2 linked regions of the Lepisosteus oculatus genome follow. Each later gene encodes a partner of the first gene's protein in a complex. Links are inferred from orthologs where the notes say so. Each region holds a gene or a part of one and is shown on either strand. Other genes may lie near its edges.

Region 1 (7,230 bases):
CCGATGGTACTGGCGTTACTCTTTTAAATTCTGCACAATTATACTGCGGTATAAAACAATTGTTCCGTGTCATTTTCCATCACACGCAAGTGGTTGTGTGTTACTAGAAAATTCTAGGCATGAATGGTCACTAAGGACACAATTTTATTCCCTCGATGTCTTTGACTGGATTTTTGTTGTAGAAAACAATTTGGAAACGGAACAAATCTGGAATTATTTAGCCCTCACCTGCTTTATTGGAGATGCTTAATGCAATATTATGCATGTCAGTTGTCACCTGAAAGAGTTTCACCTTGTAATATCACAGCACTAACGTAGGCTGCATTCGATATACAGTGCTCTATGTATATTTGGCGCTTCAACTCAAAATTATCTGATACAAATCCATATATTTGTATTGATAAGAATTGTGCAAAAATGAAGCTGTGAATCTTATGTTAACGACAGTGTGAAATTTAAAAAATGCAAGGTAAATGAACATTAAATGCAAGTTCAAGAGAAACATTATCAAGATTTTTTTTAGACACAGAAGTCATCAGAGTGGACCAGTCACCTCTCAGGTGGCTAAGAAGCATTTCATAGCTCTCTTTCTCTCGAACCCGCTGTCAAAAATGTCACATGGCTCTAGGCTTGTTGAACATACTCATGCTGCAACTGTCAGCATGCCTTTTACTGTCTTTTACTGTGATTTTTCACATTGCCTCAATTAGCAACTGAAATACTATTTAACTCTGTCACACTGCTCTACAAGTGAATCCTGTACAGTGTAAGCCTTTTCTTGAATACTTACACACATCAGGGGCTCCTCTGTCATTCGGCCCAAGTATTTTTTCCTCTGCTGATCATTACCTGCAATGATGACTGGCATTTGCTAAAGACAATGAAGAAAACAACTGTTTGGACTGTGTTTAATGGCAAAAATACACATACGGTACACAAACAGACACTGGCAGCTATCTATATACTGTATAGTGATACACGCTGCTGTGCGGTTTCAGTCTGTGGACAACCTAGTGGTATTTCACTTAAAACGCACAGAACAAGTCTCCTTACCCCCAGGGAATTTGCCTCGATGGCTGTCTGAATACCAGTGCAGCCATAAGCGATCTCCTCCGTGATGAGGCAGGAATCAAAAATACCAAGGCCCATGCCACCTGCATCCGACAAGAACGTACGTTACAAAAATACAGAAGAGAAAAAATACTTGGAGTGAGGTTTCCAGCAATTGAGAAGTGAGGAAAGGGAATTAACAGCACCATGTGTATCACATAGATCAAAGAAAACAACAGTTTCCTTTTGGAAAAATGGAAAAGGCAAGACAAGAACATAAGAAATACCACAGTCTTCTGGAATATGAGAGTTCATCAGGCCCAGCTCCCAGGCTCTCTTAATAAGAGGAACAGGATACTACAGGGCAATAGAAAAGAGAGCATAAATTAACCACAGTTGATAGTGCCATTTCCAAGCCAATACAACTGCAACCTAGTTACAATTCAGCTGCTCAGTCTCCTGTCTGTGCAGTTATCTGCACATTAGCAAATGAGGCCTGAGCTCTTTGGAGATGCTGCTTGAATATTAAGACAGGGGAAAGCTTATCTGTCCTTCTAATAATGAGAAGAGGCATTTGAATCACCCTCTTCAGGGGCTGCTGCAAGAGCCTTCCAGTGGACATGACAGATTGCCGTTATGGGTTATTCAAGGTCAGAATGCAAACAATCGCAGGCAGCTATGAAAACAGGCCCGCTTTCAGTCCAGGCCCGAGCGCTCCCCACTCATTAATAATAATAATAATAATAATAATAATAATAATAATTGCTAACACTTATATAGCGCTTTTCTGGACACTCCACTCAAAGCGCTTTACAGGTAATGGGGATCCCCTCCACCACCCCCAGTGTGCAGCCCCACCTGGATGATGCGACGGCAGCCATAGTGCGCCAGAACGCTCACCACACATCAGATAATGTGTGGTGGTAATAATCATTACATTTAACCTACAGCCTCATCAGGCCAGCCGAACCGTTCCGCACGGCAGGATGAGAGAGAAAAGGCAGCACCAAGACCCCGACCAACGGGAGTTAACGACTGGAGGTCTGTACTCTGGCCGAGGGATCAGGCTCCAGGGTGCGTTGCGGCACTTACTTCGCCCGTCCGGTCATAGTGTGGCGCCGCAGGGATGATCTCCTCCCTCGCGAACTTGCGCGCCGTTTCCCTGAATTCCTTCTGCTGATCCGTCAGGTCTGCAGGGGGTAGAACCGGAGTGGTGTTGGCACAGACCGCAGCCGTTCCGCTACACGGGGACGAAGACGCCCGATCTCGGCGCTGAACGGCTTAATATCTTTGCAAAATGAGCCATCCCTTCAGCTATCCACGGGGAAAGGTGGAATCGCTTAAAACACGGCGCACGGCACTCTACTCACCAAAACTAAACCCTCCAACAGCAGCTCTGGGGGCACTTGGGGCGGCTCTGGCTGTAGTGCCCTGGAATCTCACTCCAGCTTGAGCGGTGGCTTTTAGAAGCTACAGATTGGGGGAAAAAAAAAAAACACAGCAGCACAACTGTTACTCCTCGCCCTGCAATTCTTTAGCATAAAAACCCTGAAAGATCCCCCCCCCCCCCCAAAACTTAAAAGATACAGCAACACTTCATCTATTCCCGACCCGATTCGACAAAACTGCACAAGAGCCCCTAGTGTCGAATGAGATCTACCCATCTGTCTGCTTGCAGTAATAATGCTATTAGAGCACCAGAGCCTAACTCAACAGGCAACAGGACAAGCAAGAGGTGAAGGCAGTCCTTTGTAAGCCACACACAGGCGTGGGGACAATCGAGAGACCCCGTTCACCTCACAATTATGTTTGGACTGTGGGAGGAAACAGGAGCACTTGGTGAATAGCCATGCCATCCCGGGAAGAACATGCAAACTCCACACAGAAGATCCCTCGGTCCTCAACCACGCCCCGGACCTGAAGCCGTGAGCGCAGCAGCGCTAACTGCCACGCTGAAAATGAGACATTGTAAATAGAACTACAGCTTCGCCACGTTTAAACCTTTTTATATCCCTCTTTGTACGACTTCGGGATTGGATTATGTTGGGTTATATAACCGCGATAAAACGTTGCTGGCGTTTGTGTCGTCCAGCGCAGGCAAGGGTGATCAGAAACTACCGAGTAACCTCGGCGACAGAGACCGACCATCGCCGCTACAGCTCGTTACAGAACCTGCACGCAACACCTTGTTTTCAACAGCTTAGATTTCAGTTTTGCAGGCAAGATGCCTACATCACATCCGCCATACAGCCCACAATTCTGGACGCCTCCGTTCGCTTCCAAAGTACTGCAATAATAAAATACAACGTACACATTTGGAATTCCGGCAATAAATGCAAGCCACATAATGCGTAGTCCTTAACATTTCCTCTTTGTACGTACATACACTAAAACAACAGCTGCAACAGCTCATGACTACCTCGTTATATAAATCCTACGCAAAGGCATCGTCTTACAAAAAGAGAACCTAGAAACATGCAGCACGGAGGATCTTCGAATGCATTCGCATCTCTGCATATAATGGTCATATCCGAGTAATTAAGGCATATTTTACCTTATTTAAGTGCATCATTTTGACAGCCTGCGCTCCTCGGGACCTTGAACGTTCGAACAACCTTTGCCCCCAAAAGGAACTGTCGTCCAGCCAATCACCGCCGCCCCCTCCGTCACGAGCCCACTCCCAATCGCCTAGGCGACCTTTTACCTAGTTTCAGTCTCCAGGTCCAAAATTAACACCCGGTTTTTAAATATGTTTACTGTTATCACCTGGAGCAAACAAAAAAAAAGAAAGAAAAGAAAATTGCGTAACGCAATTGACTGAAAACATCGACCCCCCCCCCCTTTAAATTATGAAACTGAAGTTTCAAAGTATTCACGTTTTATGAATCGAGGCATGTTTTATATACGGTAATTCCTCTCTCTACGTCCCAAACACTTATTAGAAAGTCCTTATTAAAAAACAGACAATAGCGCTGAAGTGCAATATTAAGGATACATGTTGTACACGCGTGCTGAAGAAAATATTTGGGTTGAACTATAGGAGTCGAGCATGAAAAACAGTATAATAGTATTATTTACGTCCTGAGACTAGGTACTGGTAAAAAAAAAAAGCCAGGTGATTTGAATACAATTAAACAGTGTTGAAACTTGTGAGTCAACAGAAATAGTCTGAGTACATACGCCGGTAACAGCTCGTCACAGATTGTAGTACGGTACTGTGCCTTTTCGCGTATACGCACCAATCCCACTAGACACAGTAGAAACTCCTGGTTCAGTCGCAGCAGTGTCCGAGAAAAGAGGGCTACAGTACATTATTACAGTCCGGCCCCTGTCACTGGTCCTGTCCACCCTATTCAATGGTGCTGTCCCTGGAATAAGCAACAGGAACCGTTCTGACCACACAGTGTTATCTTCAATAATTGTTGCTGTCTTCCAATTATCTAAATGTGCATATATCGATGTCGGTCAGCAGTTAAAACTCTTCTATTAGTTTCCCTGTTTAGCTTTTCTTTCAGCTGAATACGCCTTTTTCATAGCCCTTAATCTGAATATTTTGACAAACAGCGCCACCCTTTTCATTAAAATTCTTTCAATGTTTAGAACACATTTTGAAATACTTTGAGACTCGAGTGTCCTTTCTTTATTAACTGCGGTAAGTGCTCAGAAAGGTAAATGGGTGTCTACTTCAGTCCTCATGGTGCGTTTTTATTTTCTTTAGCTGTTACAGCTTAGCTGTTGTTGGGTAGTTTATGACTAGCTTTTCTTTGTTAGATCAATAAACTAATGCGTTACTTTCTCGACAGATCATTGCGTAGTTCAGTTTTAAAGGACCTTTTACCAAAGTCTTTGTTTTCCACATCAGGCACCACAAAATGACCTGTACACATGATTTTATGAAACACTTGTTAATAAAATCCAATGATATCAACATTACTTGATATCATTGGATACACGTTAAGGGATAGATAGGTGTAGATCTTTACTTTCTTAATTTGAATTGCTTGAAATCTAGGGCAATAAATAGAGGCTTTTTAAATATTTTTATATTCTGTATCTATACAATCACCCCAAGTGCAATCACAAAAACAAGCTACGATGCTCAGCTCCATGGTTTTCATAGGCATCATTCACCCAGTTTGCCCGGTTTGACTAAAGAATTAGCAAACACAGAAACTAAGATAATTACCCAAGACTTTAACAGTCAGCACATCGACATGTGCATATGCATAAACATTCACATATACTGTGGTGCATACTAGATCTTGCCTAGCAATACTGATGTGACAAAGACTGCTAAGTTTTAATAAACATTTAATCCAAACTCCTTTCTTTCCCCAGCACTACAGTATATATACAGTAAGAACTACAACCCCTCATAATTACATTTTTGTAATACAATTTCTCAGCAGTCTCCATGCTTTGTGTTCGTAGTGTAGTGTCAAACAAATGACAAAGTTCAGGTGTCTTTGAAGCAGAAGTCTCTTTATTCATATGCATATGGAAGTCCGGCTTGCAACCTTAAAACAAAAAGAGTTACTATGACACATTCTAAACAAATGATAAGACAGCAACACATGCCAATTAATTATATCTAAGTTGCAGACTAGACAACAGTTAGTTCTTTTCATATTCTGGGCGTACAGCCAGCTTACCAAATACATGCCCCTTATCTTACTGACCAAGGACAGGCAGCATCTTTATATATATTTGAGCCCAAAGCCTACATCAAGCCACTAGACTGCATAGTTTGCAAAAAACTACAAAAACAAGAAATTATATTATTATCTCACTTCCCGGGCAGCTCTCTTATCTTCTTCAGTAGCTATGGCAAATATGATCCACAAAAGTCATTATTTGGAAACAATATTAAACATGGTAAATAAAGGTACAACAATTTTGTAAAAAAAAAAAGGTATTTACAAAATAAAAACGAGTCCCCTGCTGTTTTGGATCCTGATGTGAGGGTATGACTCAGTGATAACTCACTCGTCAAAAATAAGTAGCTGTCTAGTAAGATTTGCCATACATCTTTCTTGAATGGCTCATTTATCATGACCTCTACCAAAGTGGCGCATGATGCAACATAGAGAATTCTCTATTTTTCTGTACACTGACGATCTTTCGTTTTTAAGGAACATCATCTAACAGCTGGACACTGTACTGGTTTTAGCAGAAAATTGAATTTTAACTTGTGTTGATAATTATTAAATGAGCGCAGATCCAGCGACTCTGGCATTCGGATTTACAAGTGGCTTTCGTTGGGATTTCCATCTCAAGGACAGCTGCTCCCACAAGGCTCTGTGTCCTGCCACTTGCCTGTCTGCCAGCAGATTAAGCTGAGTTACAGATCAGCCCGGGCTGGAAAAGAGGCTCTCTGAGGGGCATTTCTCTGGAGAGAAGAACACAGCATCCTTATCATGGATTTCTGTCATTTTCCTAATGAAGAGTGCTGGCTTGTTCTGTGGTATCACCAAATGCCCTTTGTACACAATGGTACGAAAGGACAACAGCAAAAACAAGAACACTCTTCCTGAGAATGATAATCAAAAGTCTTAATAATGGTACCTGCTCTTTATAAAATAATTACCGCAATGGCTAGACTAGGGCAGGAACATTTACCAGGAAAGAATATCTTCAGACAACATTGCAATTTGTGCAAAAATGGTTTGGGAACGCTCCTTCCACCCACAAGAATTAATTAATACAGTTTAAGAAGTTTAAGAGGGCAGGCCATTCAGCCAGTTTAGCTCAGATGTGTTTTTCAGGGCCTAACTGACTTCATCCAGACAGGTCATGAAAGAAACCAGCGCAACAGCTTCAACACAACATGTCTGGGTAGTTTGTTCCAAACCTCCACACCCCTTCGCACAAAATAGGTGCCCCCCTCTCTCGGTTTTAAACACACTCTCCCACAGTTTCCACAGTGTCCTCATGCTCATGTTTCATTGTCTGCTCGGTTGACCTTGCCAGCGTGTTTGAGGGTTTGGAATACGAGAATCAAGTCCCAACCAGGTTCAAAACTGAAAGACATTTCAGGAATTCAGTTCCTTCAGCCCGTCAGTGTAGGACACTTCTTTTGTGCCAAGGAATGTATCTGGTTGTTCTTCTCTTGACAGATTCTAGAGCAACGATAATTATTTTTGTAAGGTGGTGACTGTAACTGTGCACCACAATCTAAAT
Region 2 (7,575 bases), on another chromosome or scaffold:
CTGATAAAAGACACACAAGAAGCCCATTCTTGAGTTAAGTGGTTCACCAGGATTGAGCTTATCCTCTTCTCTTTAATGTTGGACTCAAAATGAATGAGTACTCCAAGGATAAGACACTAGTCCATTTCTGGGTATTCCTAGCAATAATGGAACCCATTTCACAGAAAATGGGCCCTTGCACACTGGTGTAATCCAATCCAAGGTGGGGACTTAAACCCACAATCCTCTGGTCAGTAACCTGGAGCCTTTCTCGCTGTGTGCTGACAGATGCCACATAAGTGTACGTTGCAGTAATTATTTTGTATAACTGATCTTACCTGCTTGCCAAGTACTACTAGAGAAGCGTTTTCTTTCTTCGCTAGAGCTGCCAGAATCTTAGAGACCTGCAGAGGCCCCAGGTTGTCATAATCCTTCCCAGAAACCTCCACATGGATCCCTCTGTCAGCGCCCATTGCCAGCGCTGTGCGGATGGTTTCCTGGGGAGGACAAGGAACTTTCACAGAAGGAACCTCTGTCTTGTTCTCAGTTCCATGGCATATCCTGTGTGTACAGTCCACACCTGAGCTAGAGTGGCTCAGAAGACCATTTTACATTAACCCCCCTCCACCCTAATGGTACCTTCAGTTCTGAGGGAGCCTGGTTTAGTAGATCAACAGAGATTTATGACAAAGACATCACTTCTATTTTACCATTTATACTGCTCTGCCTGCAGGTTGGTAAACCTACACTATTTCCCCATCTTCAAGCACTCATCATGATGTTAATCACGTTTTTACCTTGACATGCAGCTCTACACGCCAGCTGATACCAGATCAACGGACAAGCAGTGAACAAACCCGCAACCCTTATATAAAATAAAGATGCTGATAACTAACTCTATCTTAAACTTTGTAAAAGTTAAACAATTCAACATGTGAAAATACAGATGCATTAACAAAGCCCAGTCCTGAGAGGCTGTTTTTGGCGGCTTCTAGTGGTGGCCCCATTGCTATTCCAGTTTGTTTGGTATGTAACCACCTGATCCTAGAAGAAAAATAATTATCACTATCATTTTATTTTGCTGATGCCTTAATCCCAGGATTTACAACGATGAAATAAGAGGAACTTCCTCCATTTTTCCTCAAATTCTCTTCGCAAAGGTCTCTCAGAAAGATGCTGAATTACAAGCCACAGCTCACAAGAGAACCAGGACATCAGATTCAAGAACATAGCTGGGTAGCTTGTTACAAACTCCCACAGGCCTTTGTGTAAAGACATACCTCTCCTGTTCTCAGTTTTAAATGTTTTTTTCTTATAAAAGAGGCTAAACACGACTCTCTCACACACAATCAAGATCTCAAAAGTCGCTCCCCTTAAAAAAAAAGTCTGGCAAACATCTGGTTGGTTACAACTTTGCTGGACTCACCCTGACCCCCGCCTGGTCCCACAATAAGAAGACAGGACATGGATGAGGGGGTCAAAGGTCATGAAGTGGTGGCATACCTGAACCTGCTGGGGCCCACAGCTCACGGCTATGACCTCGTTCACCAGCTTCTTCTCCTTCAGCCTCACCGCCTCCTCCACAGCGATTTCACAGAACGGGTTCATGGAGTGCTTCACCCCATCCGTGACAACCCCTGTCCGGTCCGGCTTCACCCGGATCTGCAAAACCAAACCGCCGGTGAAAGGTCAGAGGTCAGAGTCAAGCAAAGAGCCTGGAACACCAGTCTTCTGGGATTAAAAAAAAGCAACATTCTTTTTTTCAGTATCACTTCCGAGTCTGAGTATGGGCTATAAAATAAATAAGGAAACAAATCTCAAGTAAACATAAGGTAAGAAACGTCTAAGATAGTAAACAGAAAAAAGAAGGAAAGTGGGAAGAAAAAGATGAAAGGGGCAAAGAGGAAAGGAGAATAAAGGTAATAACTAAAGAAATAAAATATATTATACCTATGCAAGTGGTAAATTTTACTTTGCACATTTTCTTTGCAGGCTTTGCTGATATTCGTACTTCATCAAATGCAACAGTCTTCAATTTAATCATCACGGTTTTTAATTAAAATATTATTAATATTATTATTGAAACGATCAATCTCAATGTTTTAGTAAATACGGGTTATTTCATTTTTATTCTTAAAATGCACACGTGTAAGTGGAGACATGAATGATAATTGTCTTAAGGCGGACCTTCTCAGCAAAAGCAGCAACACAGCGCATTGTAGAATTGATTTATTAACCACGAGATGAATTTTGGATTGCTTGTTCAGAGCAATACTAGGCTAAATATAGGATGATAATTTCAGAATTGGCAATGCATTTGCTTTGCATAGTTAACGACTGTGCACTAAAATAGTCTCATTTAGACTAAGGTGTTCCTTACCTACTTCTAATCAGAAATGACAAAAAAGTAGTTAACACGGACTACTGAAGAGGCTTAAAATTGCAAACCTTCACCAGCATAACCATACAGTATATATTCTGAAGTAGTTCAGGTGGGTAGCTGAGTCAGCATGCGTAGGCTGCAAAGGAACAAGTAATAGGTTTATTCCGTGCTGAAAAGAGAGTTTCGGCTGTGAAGCCTTCTTTGGATTTAAGGGATATAGTATACTGTATATTATATACAGTATATATTCTGTTCTGTGTCTGAGTTACTTAACTCATTGCCCTGAAAACTTCCATTAACCGTCTGCAACGTGCAATATACAGTATAGCGTTTGAAAACTGAACTCAACTGATAATCGATTTTCATGTCACATTCGTGTGAGATCTGATTACAACTTGCAAGCAATCTGACCTTGTCCCTTTAACGAAACTCCTGCAGGCTAACTGAAGACCAATCGAAAACAAAAAAAAAAATCTCTCCGTAGTCGGAGAGAACTGAATATAATTGTACCTTGACTGCGTAGTCAATAACCCGCTTGACACCAACCAAAACCCGAGATGACATTTTGAACCTGACAAAAACAACTCCTGCACTCTTCTTCGGACAGGAGAAGGGAGACGGACGGATTTCACGGGGACACCGGGAAAGAAAAGGAGGGGAGTGGGGAGGGCTTAGGAACTACCCCCCGGTAAACCAATTATAAAGCAGACTTTCGATTTATAGCCAATGGGAAAGCGTGACGAATATGGAGAAAGCGCAGGTCCGTTTACTGCGGTGCAGAAACTAAAAACAGATCAGTTGAGTTCCTATGTGGCGATTGCAAGAAACTGGGGCAAAGGTTCACAGACTGTTTCAACAGTGTGCTGTGCCAGGATGGACGGTATCTAGCGGGATATTTTCTGCATGTTCTGTTGCAGCAATTTGAGGAAATAAAAATGGTCACAAAGGTGAATTCTGTTTAGTGTACCGTGGCTAAGGATCTGTGCCTGTGGCTGGAAGGTTGCTGGTTCATATCCCACAGCTGGCAGAGAAATCCCACTCTGTCAGACCCTTGAGCTGTATAAATGTCTGACCTGGTGTTCTGAACACCAGCTTCTCTCCCTGTCTGTGTGTCTCATGGAGAGCAAGATGGGGTATGTGAAAAGACAAATTCCTAATACAAGAAATTGTATATGGCTAAGTGATCTTCTTATTTTTGTAATAAGACAATAAACTGATGAGTGACATACTTACTTCTTAACAAGCATATCAAATCCATCCTACTGCATTAGACAAACTGAATTCATGGAACTTTTTTTAATCGAACAATATCTGAAAATTAATACTGTTTGCTACCTCAGCTGTTAAACTAATCACCGAGCTAATAGTTCTTTTATTTAAAAGTACTAACCAATAGGTAACTTCATATTTGTTTCTGTAGTGAACCAAGAACAAGAGAGCATAAATGCGAATTGCTTGACACTGCGTGTTGTAGTAATGAAAACAGAATTCCTGTAAAGGTTGATGGTCGTTGGAACATAATTGTGGTTGGAACATAAATGCTGATGTTGGTTCTCTGGCTTCTTTAAAATATATTTTATAAGATTTATGTCTGCACTTATAATTTCTTGTTAGGTAGATACTATTTAAAATTGGGACTCTAAATTCCAGATCATAATGTGATGTTCAGAAACATTAAAAATATACACCATGACTTGATTATTTATAAACAAATTTTAAAATAAACTACGTGACATCATCATTGAGGTGTGACATCACAAAGTACAGTTAGAAAGCATAGCAACAAGAAAAACACTTTCTAAAATAAATGGAAAGTTCTTGCAGTTTTTAAAATCTAGACGCACCTCTAAGAAAATAAAAAGATCCTTAAAGTCCTTAAAGAAGCTGCAGAAGGTAAGAACATTCAATAACTATCATTAATGAATTATCATGCTGTAATTAAGATTAACAAAGATTATATTTTAAAAATAGTAGTTTAGTAACTACAATTCTACATATAGCAGTCCATTGAAATCCAGCACTTTATGGCTCGTCTTTTCTAAAGTGAGATAGCTGAATTCTTAATATAAGTAATTGATAATGGTTTCAAGAACAGCGTAATGGTAAACTTGAAAGTTTAGGTTTTATGTCCATTAATTCTTACATACAGTATTCTTGTAACGTTGTAGGATGAAAATATACCAGCTATGGGGGCCCTTAACGGCCTTTGAGAAGTCTCTGCTGGGAATCTGGGGAAACACAATCCCAGAGGCGTTCTTCAAGGAAAGGAATCGCAGCATTCAGCCTCCTTCGTACTTCGCCAAAGAGTTCCACCCCCAGCATCCGGCCCCGAAAAAGAACTTTGACCCGACTGTCAGAAGACCCCAGTCTGTCCGGCCCAAACATCAAGAAGTCCCTCGGAACATTCATTCTCTCAACCTGGGCTGCTTTGTGAAATGGGCCTCCGGCTACCCTGACCTCCACTGCAATGATATCTGTGCTATGCTGGGTGAAGACAAGTGCTTTTACAGCTAACCCTTCTAAAGCAGTTGGTCATAAATGTATGTTACCTATACATAATGTCTCAGGGGATTTACATCATACCCAATTCAGAATAATCATTTAATTCTCTTTTTTTATTGTTTGTCAAATGAATCGGTTATGAAAATCAACTTGTGTCCATTTTGCATTTTACTGTTTACATTATGCATTTAAATAGCTTTGCTATGGTTTTCCATGTGCATTTGGTGTGCTTTAAAACCACAAGGAAACATTATAACATTTTTTTTCACCCTGGTAACATACTGTAGGTAATGTGATGGTTAGTAGTCCTGCTTCACAGCTGTTGGGTTTTGGATTAAAGTCCAGATCACACCTTATATCATACCGTATACAAGCAGTACTCAACCAAAACAATATGTAACTATAACTCAATGACCAACAATTCAAAGAATTTTACCTTTTCAGGAAAATTTATAAGCTTTGTGTGGTGGATGATGTAAAAATATCATAAATAAGAGAACTGTGGATTATCAAACGCTAATAAACATATTTTAATTCACTCCAAAATAGTAAGCACAAATGTTGATTTTTTTTTGTAGAGATACATTATCCTGGCAGGTAAATAAAAATACAAAAAAATAACATTTTAATAGATTAAAGAGTTTGCATTTTTTAAAACATAAAGAATTCAACCGAAACTGAATTCACTCATCAACAATCTCTAAATACTCGAAAAACGAATTTTAATTATTCTTGTTCAAGGCGGAAGTTATATTACATCTTACGGGAAATTCAGGCATTATTACCATGAACTCGAGTATCTTCACTTAATTATAGGATTGCTTTACCGTACTATATGGAAATTAACAACACGGGTGGTGACATTCTTGTGTCGTTTATTCTTAATGCACTGCTTTTGTGCAAATACAACATAACAATTTACAAAACTATTTGATATAGGTATTCACAGTTTTAGCCCTCCCCTTTCATAAATCATTTGCAAAGAATATAAAGACAATAATGCATCTGACCGTACCTTGTTTTATATTGAATTTTACCTTCGTTCAAAACTACATTTCCCATAGTGCACTTACAAACGAACAATTGAACGGTTATGCAACATTAGTTCTTCTCAAAAATTTTTGAATGTTTTAGTGTAGACCAGCTCACATATTTTTACTATCGCCGCATGGAGTTAAAAAAAAAAACACCTGTAAACTCTCAGATACATTTTTTAAAAAAAAATCTAGTCCCGGGTGTTACTAACCGAAGCACGGCGCTTCCGCAGTAAAGAAAAATAGCTTGTTTTTAGGTAAAAGATGAACCAAATACAATATTGAATACTGAATAACAGTTATTGCTCTTGGGATGGAGTGTGTAGGTTTTAACAGGCTTAATCCTCCATATATAAAGAATTTCTACCGAGTCATGTACATAACGGTGTGAGCAGAGGATCTGTTTTTAACTCGTCCTTCCTGCTTCTTCTCCTTTCTCCTCTTCCGGCGAGACTCTCGACTGTCAGGTGGCTCTTGCGAAAACCCGGATTGGATCCTGCTGTCAGCTGAGTGACAACGTGATCGCTTGATGAAAGTCTTTTTTTTTAACAGAATCAATGCAGTACAGTGGGAAAACGATTAAAAGAAAGCCAATTCTAAAACAGAAGGTTCATCACAGTTATTGTTTTCTGTGTAGTGCCCGCCAGGTAATTAAACGTTACAAATGCATCAACAATTTTAGCAAAGGGATGAAGTATTTGATCACCCACATATGATGAGACTTGGGGAGAAAATGAAAACACCTCGCTTCTGAATTATCGTGTGATTCAGATTTTATGCCAGCTCGGGCCCTCACACCTGAAGAGGGCTCCACGGCCGAAACTTTGTGTTTTCTTTCTTCATTTTTCAGCATGGAATAAACCTGTTACTTGTTCCCTTTGCAGCCAACGCATGCTGACGCAGCTACCCACCTGAACTTTTAGCTGACCAGATAGATTACTAAAAGCTTCAGCAACCACAAACTATATAGTTTAGCAACTAAATGTGGCTTCTTCTGCACTGTAACTTCTCTGAGGTTCAATGAATGACACTCTTGTTTTAATGATAGCACTTTCATGTTCGATCACACCAGTTCTGCAGTGTGAAGCAATGCTGTCTGTATCGTACAGGACAAATCCATGCTATTTCCTAAAGGGTTGCAGGCAGGGTTATATATTCTGTCAGTCTTGGATATGAACCCAGTTCACAGAGAGACAAATGAAAAATATTGGATGTGCCTCCAAATCGCATTACAGCTCAACTGGAATATAAGGGTTTGATTCCTGTTACCATGATACAAAAAGAGAACCCTGAGCCAGTGAGAAACAAGCACACAGAAAACAAGAACTATATCAGGACAGAGAAGTAGATCATACAGGCATGTCTTTAAAAAAAATAAAGTCACAGAGCAATAGGAGTCCTTTAGTAATTTGTTTTTTAAATTTGGTGCTGTTCAATGTGCAGCTGAAATATAGCTGCATTACAAATAAAATGTTCAGCAGATAAACATTGAAAACACCAGTCCAGAAAAACACACTCTAGTGCGTGGCATGCACAGCACTTAGATTTTGACAGTCAAAGTCAGATCTGCCCATTACCTCAAACCTAAGACATTAGCCAGGTATAAAGTGCTTTCATGGGAAAAGTGCAGAACTAAATAGAGGACACAGATTAGGGGGCATTTAGAGAGAAAATAAC

The links. Proteins that work in one complex are often made in the same cells at the same time.
Region 2: the proteins of acadm (region 1) and etfb are in contact, whole or in part, in a crystal structure (PDB 2A1T), measured with the Homo sapiens proteins. The link is inferred for Lepisosteus oculatus from reciprocal best matches to the Homo sapiens genes ACADM and ETFB. Residues at the interface, in NP_000007.1 of Homo sapiens: Glu43, Gln44, Lys46, Glu47, Phe48, Thr51, Lys54, Phe55, Glu58, Glu59, Arg80, Glu83, Leu84, Gly85, Leu86, Leu98, Leu100, Ile108; in NP_001976.1 of Homo sapiens: Glu73, Arg76, Thr77, Tyr192, Ala193, Thr194, Leu195, Pro196, Ile198, Met199, Lys202.

The regions. Positions count from the first base shown.
Region 1 is NC_090704.1:4,144,991-4,152,220, forward strand, and holds the start of acadm (medium-chain specific acyl-CoA dehydrogenase, mitochondrial), read right to left. Parts: upstream 3,001-7,230; 5' UTR 2,921-3,000; coding exon 2,852-2,920; intron 2,521-2,851; coding exon 2,421-2,520; intron 2,241-2,420; coding exon 2,143-2,240; intron 1,408-2,142; coding exon 1,338-1,407; intron 1,155-1,337; coding exon 1,054-1,154; intron 872-1,053; coding exon 791-871; intron 1-790. UniProt on the Homo sapiens protein: Medium-chain specific acyl-CoA dehydrogenase is one of the acyl-CoA dehydrogenases that catalyze the first step of mitochondrial fatty acid beta-oxidation, an aerobic process breaking down fatty acids into acetyl-CoA and allowing the production of energy from fats.
Region 2 is NC_090722.1:8,296,373-8,303,947, forward strand, and holds the start of etfb (electron transfer flavoprotein subunit beta), read right to left. Parts: upstream 3,012-7,575; 5' UTR 2,927-3,011; coding exon 2,873-2,926; intron 1,642-2,872; coding exon 1,483-1,641; intron 477-1,482; coding exon 318-476; intron 1-317. UniProt on the Homo sapiens protein: Heterodimeric electron transfer flavoprotein that accepts electrons from several mitochondrial dehydrogenases, including acyl-CoA dehydrogenases, glutaryl-CoA and sarcosine dehydrogenase.